Cricetulus griseus: one gene and its partner. The protein of the gene in region 1 interacts with the protein of each later gene in a pairwise test. Links are inferred from orthologs where the notes say so. Each region holds a gene or a part of one and is shown on either strand. Other genes may lie near its edges.

What was found. The genes of interacting proteins can lie anywhere in the genome.
Region 2: the proteins of DNA repair protein XRCC4 (region 1) and Aplf interact in binary tests that used the Homo sapiens proteins (3 or more experiments, as listed by UniProt). The link is inferred for Cricetulus griseus from reciprocal best matches to the Homo sapiens genes XRCC4 and APLF.

What each region holds. Positions count from the first base shown.
Region 1 is NC_048595.1:308,960,571-308,964,468, forward strand, and holds part of DNA repair protein XRCC4, read right to left. Parts: intron 2,612-3,898; coding exon 2,439-2,611; intron 1-2,438.
Region 2 is NC_048601.1:55,693,251-55,697,148, reverse strand, and holds the end of Aplf (aprataxin and PNK-like factor), read right to left. Parts: intron 1,485-3,898; coding exon 1,282-1,484; 3' UTR 337-1,281; downstream 1-336. UniProt on the Homo sapiens protein: Histone chaperone involved in single-strand and double-strand DNA break repair.

The sequences.
Region 1 (3,898 bases):
GTGCAACTGTCAGCACATTTTTGCCAACAGATGAATTTATATGATGGTATCACTCTGAAATCAGTTTGCAGAAACACATGGCATACTAGAAAATTCCCAGTATTGTACCGAATAGAATATGTTTGTCAATGTTTCAGCTGCATCCTTAGCTGACCTTAGCATGAAAAGTTTTGCCTCATTTAAATGTCCAAAATATCTCTCTCAAGCAAGCCAGGCATGAATAAACTTATCAACAAATACACAATGAATAAATAAAAGGACACCCATTTAAACTGCAATGTGATGGTTGAAGGCCATTTGTCTAAGGACTCTTCTAAATTCCTGAGTCTTTTTATGCTGTTAAATCACTAGTAAAAATCAGTTGAAGCCAGGCATGTTAGTGCTGTCTTTAATCCCAACACTCAGGAAGAAGAGGCAGGTAGATAAGTTTGAGGCCAGGCAAGTCTACAGAGTAGTTCCAGGACAGTAAGGGATGTTACACAGAGAAACCCTTTCTCAGAAAAACAAACAATCAAACAAACAATCAGTTGAAAGCATAGTATTCAAGACCTTGATTTTGATAGAGTGATTAATTTCATGATGGAAAACAAGAATTTTTTCAGGATTATTGCTAGTCTTCAATTCTTATACAGAGTAAGCCAATTGTAATGATGGAACTAATGAAGAATTAGAGGTTGTTCTTCAGAGAATCAGCAAAACTACCAAGCAGCCAGGGCAAGTCCTCCAGCAGTGCACTTGCTGAGCCCCAGCCTTTCACCACATCACAGGTACCAAAAGCTTCTCACTAACTTGACAAGTGTCATCACAAAATAACACTATTTATGTAAAACAAATGTCTGCTGAATAGGAATTACTACTACTTAGTTTGCCCTGTTCCACTTCATAATACGAGTAGGAACTGGCAGCAGTTGTTATGTATTTAATATCATCTGATTGAGCATTGGCCATAGAAAAGAACACAATTAATAAAACTGTAGTTGTCAACTCAGATCTCCTTCACCTATTTTTAATTATTATTTTAATAACTGCAATATATTGAAAAATATGCATTGTAGCTATTGTGACTATGTATCCCTTAAACTGAAATTACAAAGCCAGCCATTATACATTATTCTCCAAAATAACACATATTTGAAAATAATTTAATTTATTTCTTCAAAGATTTCTCAGATTGATAATTCCGCTTTACTATTCGGAGTTTAAAAGGTTGCTTTAAGAGCATTTAAAAATTGGATTTATCTAAAAAGCAAATTCTTCATTACTATCAATGAGCCTAATGAAGTAAGTTTCCCCTTTCTTAAGATGTAGATCTATGATTAATAAACCAAGAGCAAAAGCAAATTTAATGTCTAATTAATTTGGGCACTATGTAAAGACAGTAAGCACAGTCTAATAAAGTAGCCAGAACCTTAGTCAGAACTGCACAGAAACAGCAGATATGCTTGTCTAGAAAGCATGGAACCTTTGGAAAGCTGAGACACAGAGTTAGCCCTCCTTCATTATTTTTAAGTATGACAATATAAATAATATTCCCTTAGTCATTAATCGTATGTACTACTATACCTAACTATGTTGTTTTAAAATTGCAGATATAGGGAGCTGAAGAGATGACTCAGTGGTTAAAAGCACTGGCTGCTCCTCCAGAGGACCAGGGTTCAATTCCCAGCACACATGGCAGCCCACAATTGTCTGTAACTCCAGTTGTAGGAGATTCAAAACCCTCACACAGACACACATGCAGGCAAAGTACCAAGACACATAAAATAATAAATTAAGAATCATTAAACAACAACAATATAATAAAACAAAATTTCTAAGATATCTAAGAAAGAAAACAAATCACTTACTGAATAGCTAAAGGTAAAAGTATTGCTTTCTTTCTGAAATTCTGTATTTTCCCATATTTACTTTTGAGCAAGTCAGGATGCAATAGTCTAAAACTCTTTATCTCACTTCTTTCAAAATTGTTCATTCATGTTATTAACTGCAATACTTAAAGTATTTTAAATATTGAAGAGTACTTTTCACAATGTATTAAAAGAAATGCTTCATGAACTTTAAACCTGAAGCATTGTGAGCTGGTGAGATGGCTCAAAGAAAAATGCTTGCTAACAAGGATGAAGGACCAAGTTCCACCACCAGAGGCCTTGGGGAAGGAAAGAACTGATTCACAAAAGTTGTCCTCTTGGCCATCACATATGTGATTCAGCACACACACACACACACACACACTCATGCATGCATATGCACAGACACATCCATACATACAGAAAACACACATAGAATCGCATTTTACATATATTTGAGGCATATTAATGAGTGTACCAACTAATTTCTTGGTATTTATTTCCCGAAGTGCTCTAAGAATAATAGAACTGCTACTTGAATGTGAAACAAAATCCATCAATAAAATCAAATTTGTGGGAAGCTGTACTTACTGAGACATCTTTCAGTTCTTTCTCAAGGGAGAAATGGCACGACTCTCTAGAAAAGATGAATTTGTATGTGTCAGATCCTGATCCTGAAACCAATGCTTTTCTCAATTCATCAGCATATTTTTCTTTCTCCATAGCCATGTCATCAGCTTCTTGGGAAATCTCCGATTCAGAAACTATGGGAAAGATTAATAAAAATAATGAATAATAAGTTTCTATTGGAAAACAAGTACTTAGTTGTTACTACTACTTTATCAAATATAACAGGTTTTTGAAAAAATAATAAAATCAAAATGTTTCCCTGTGGCTTTTTAAAATACCTTTAGTGCTATTTGTCCCTTTTTCCTCCCTCTCCTGTTCTCTCTCTCTCTCTCTCTCTCTCTCTCTCTCTCTCTCTCTCTCTCTCTGTCTCTCTGTCTCTCTTCTCTCTCTCTCTACATATATATATATATATATATATAATAATATATATATATATATATATATATCTTCCCCTTCAGTATTTTCTCCTTTGCCCTTTTAATGCACTTCTTGTATCCTACAACAAGCTCTTTTTCTTCCTCTCCAATCATTACACCCCTTTACTTTCCCAACTTCTGTAGTTATGCCAAACTACATACGCAAATCTATGTATCCAGAGCTAGGAACTGTCCGTGTGTGTGTGTGTGTGTGTGTGTGTGTGTGTGTGTGTGTGTTTAATGGATTTATGCCACATGGATAATAACACTCCCTGCAGGAACAATTGATTACTAAACAATTACTCCAGAGCCAGGCAAGGAATGCCTTCAAACTGTTGGTCAAGGGACTTAGAGAAACACCAAACATAAGATACTTCCATTGTCCTTGGCTACACCCCTACAACTTTAGAGGAAGTCGATATTTCTGAAGATAACATACACTTCCCATACAGACCTTAAGGAATTGAACCAGTACTGACCTGAAAGCTTTCCCTCTGAGGATTAACACTCATAGTATCAGAAAATGCTATGCAACCTGACAACAGACAAATGTAATCAACAGTTCTATACAACTGGAAAGTCTACAAAGCAAAACAATACTTGGCCTGCTAAGATATCCCCAAAGGTTAAATAGTTCTTTTTATCTTGGTAATGGTAATAATCATCAGCCATCTATGGTGTACTCAATAAGATAGAAGTGATGCCTGGTACTGTAAACCTAGTCAACTATCAGAGGGTGGAGAAGACACAGACCCTCGAGTAGGACTGCTGTTTCCCTAAATCAATATAGAATCTAACTGTATGTTAAGTGTCTTTCTTTATTCTCAAAGATAAGTTTAGTTCTCAGCCCCCATCAAAGAAGCTTGGTTTTGCAATAGATGGAGGTTACTTCAAAGATCCCCAACTAATAAAACTGAAGAGAATGAGCAACTTTGAGGTCCTAAGCCCCAAATGGTATATCTACAACATAAAACCTCCTCCGAGGCTCAGGAAACAGCATGAACC
Region 2 (3,898 bases), on another chromosome or scaffold:
GCTGCTTCTGCCTCCACCTTCATCCCCTGCTGGTGAGCACGTCAACCCCACTCCTGCCTCCTTCACTAACACTGGAATCTCCCTTTTTTGGCCTTCAAAAGTTTGACAAGGATCAGCAGCTCTCTGGAGTCCTCTAGGCCACCAGCGCCAGACTGGGACTCATTTACTGGGCAGCTCCTGGTCCTCCGCCTCTCTAGGGTGAAGACAGCCATAAGGACTACCCAGCCCTCACCATGTCAGCCAATCTAATAAATCCCCCTGTAGCATAATCCTATCGGTTCTGTTCTTCTAGAGAATCTAACAGAAGGGAAAAACAAGTTTGCAAAGAAGTCAAAGTATCTGAGAAAAGTATAAATATTTATTTTGTCTTTCTTCGGTTTAAGTAAAATTTAAATTATACAATTACATGCAGAGACTAAGAAAACATATCGGGCACATTTCTATTTCCTCTTAAAGGATGACAAGGCGCTTGCTGCTTGCTCCAGCTCTGTGCGCACAGACTCTACTCACAGTGAAAACTGAGCTCCTAGAAACTCAAAGCTGCCTAAAGCGAAGCGTTACTGAGAGCCCGGTTCAAGGACAGGAGTGAGGAGATGTACCCCACTAACTTGGAGCAGAGGCTTCTTCAGAGGAGACCGTCTGAGAAAACTATGCTGGAAGCTTTTGGACATCCTACTTGTAAAGCTACACAGTGCAAGCAAAGTAATGAGGAAGGGTGTGCTGTGAAGACAACCACAGCTGCGGGGTGTGCAGAAAACGTTTCCTTGCAAGGTGAGTGTTGCTTCCCCACAGCTTAACAGGATCATTTTCAGCATCTGGTTGTTAATAATTTCCCCAGGATTCAACAGACAAGGGCAGTAAATGAAATCACAAAGCCACATCTAATGCATTAGAAAAATAACAGACACTGCACTGGCTGTCACTTTGTTCAAGTCTAGCTTTGTGAGGGACTCTATGCCCTCCACTGTCCTGTAATCACCTAGCTAAGCTTGCACGGTATACCTCGAAGGTCAAAGGTGTGTACTAACTATGGCTTTTATTAGCAGTGTGTAAAGTATATGAAAAAGTATCAGACGCTGCCTAACCTCTGTACCTGCTTCCACTGACAGATGAACTAATAGGCACCAAACAGGCAACAACATGGCTTCCACCTACGTCACTAAAGGCTGGTGTTTCAACGTTTCAAGTGGGAAGAGCTATTAAAAGAAAATGGTTACTACTCAGTTTCTGGACATTTCCCATAAAGGCAAAGCAAATGTGAGTTTTATTATTGCAGAAAAGTTACTTTTTCCTCTTCATAAACCTTTTTGCTTCTTTTAAAAGCTCTTCCACATCTTCCTTCTCTTCGTCATCCTTTTCTGGCTGCCAGTCAGAATCCTCATCTGTCGGCTCGTATCCTTCTTCCTCGTCATCGTCTTCCAGAAAGCTGTCGTTCAGGTCATTCTCACTGGGGTGCCCACCGTCATCATTATCTTTATCTCGGACTGAAAAACAGCGTATTGCAAACAACACATCAACCACTACAACTGGGGTTAGGGATATCTGTTGGAAAATGTCTCCCTGTGGCATGAATTAATTAATCTTTAGCTTACTACTTTGAGTGTTAGAACTGGCTGTAGCAGGATTTCTCTTTTGGGCCACCAACCATGACACGGAGACTTCTTATTAGTTATGAATGCTTGGCCTCCTCTTAGCTCTTATTTTATTCTGTTCCCTTGATCTATGTTTTGCCTCGGGGCTCTTTACCTCTCTTTATATCTTACTTTCCTGCTGTCTCTATGTCTGGCTAGCTAGCACCTGCCTGGCTTCTGACCCTGGGTGTGTCCCTCTCTTTTTCCCTTGTTCTCATCTCTCTCATTCTTCTCTCTCTCTCTCTCTCTCTCTCTCTCTTTCTCCACCACACTCCTCTCTCTCTCTCTCTCTCTCTCTCTCTCTCTCTCTCTCACACACACACACACACATAAACACACACCTAGATTTCTCCTCCTACTTATTCTCTCTGCCCTCCAGCCTTACCTACCCTTTCTCTGCCTAGCTATTGGATGTTCTGCTTTTTATTAGACCAATCAGGTGCCTTAGGCAGACAAGGTGAAACAGCAACATCTTTACATAATTAAACAAATGCAACAGAAACAAATGTAACACACCTTTACATAGAGTAATACTTCACAGCATAAACAAATGTAACACATCTTTGCCCAGTTAAAATAATATCCCACATAACAATGGGCACTAAAGTGATCATTTGTTTATTAGTCTAACTGTCCACACTGTGAGGTCCCTGTGACTAACTTGGCTCATGAGAATCAAATAGAGGGTCCCTAATAACACCATGCTGCCAGACCTTCACCCCAGTCAGCTATGTTATGCCCTGCCCCTTCCTGATAGGATTACTCTGCTGCCTCTGACTCCCAAGTGCTGGGATTAAAGGCATGCACCACCACTGCGCAGTTTAGTTAGTTTGTTTGTTTTTTAATGTGCCAACACATTTGGAAAAGCAGCTTGTAAACATCTGCCGCACTTTATCACACCACTGCATCAGGCTCTCTGACAGCTTTTAAATGTCATCAGAAAGTAAGACAGCTAGGGATATGACAGCATTTTCCTTGCACTGATTTCTCTTGCATTCACTGTCTTGTGCCAAAGCTCTAGCACTCTGAAAATGTGTGGAACGCTAGTAAGGGCTCATGTTAGCTAGACACAGAAGAAACGTGGCAGGTGGCAACAGAACAATACACAAGCAATGCAAACCCTTAGCTGCAACATGTAGAAAATCTATGGACCCAGCATTTCAGAAGGGCTACAAATGAGAAGTTAAATACTCAGCCTCTAGTGTGGTTGCTTTAATGCTGATACTATGCTATATTACATTATCTTATGTGGTCATGAGTGTCCACCTGTTTAACTTTTTAAAAAGAAAAAAAAAGGGACCTAGTTCTTTCTTCATGTTTCTACTATGTGGAGTGTCATGGCCACTGTCCTGATCACCTGCACTATAGTCCAAGGTTTGCTGTTTCCCTTCTCTCATGCTGGCCTCCATTCCATGGCACATCAATTAGCAAGTCTTACTGATTCTTTCAAGGTCTCTTAGCTTTGGGGTACTTCTCATATCCCTGTGACCCTTTTCACACAGAAAACACATGACACATGAAAAAGTTAGTGTTCGAAGAAATGGATCTACACATACATGAGATTAGGATCTGGGTAATGATAAATGTTAAGCATTTGGGAGATAAGAAACTGTCAGAATTCTGTCTTAGATATCTCTGAATTAGGAAATATGAGACCCTAACATTTAATTTGCCATTTAAAGTATTCAGACCCACAAGTTTTAGAGGAAAAAAAGATGTGCTGATTACATCAGCACACAGAGATTCCCAAGCATTCACAGAGTTGCTCCCTGCTTACAGATGTTCTAAGATCTCCACTGGGAGCTAGAAGCCAGTTAACACACACACACACACACACACACACACACACACACACACACACACACACACACACACCACACACCACACACCCACACACACACACACACACACACACACACACACACACACAACACACACCTAGGATAAAGCCTGATTTGTAATTGGGCACATTAAGAGATTAATAGCAACAATAATGAAATGGAATAAACAAAACAACAGTAGTTAAAAGCTTATGAGTTACTGATTTTATAACTTTTCTTTTTGTTTTGTTTTGTTTCGAGACAGGGATTCTTTGTAACTTGGTCTGTAGACCAGGCTGGCATCAAACTCACAGCGATCTTCCTGCCTCTGACTCCCAAGTGCTGGGGTTAAAGGTGGCTGCCACCAAAACCCAGCTTATTTTATGACTTTTCTATTTGCCAACTTCAGACAAATACTGACTACAAGTAATTGAAACAGCAGGAAGT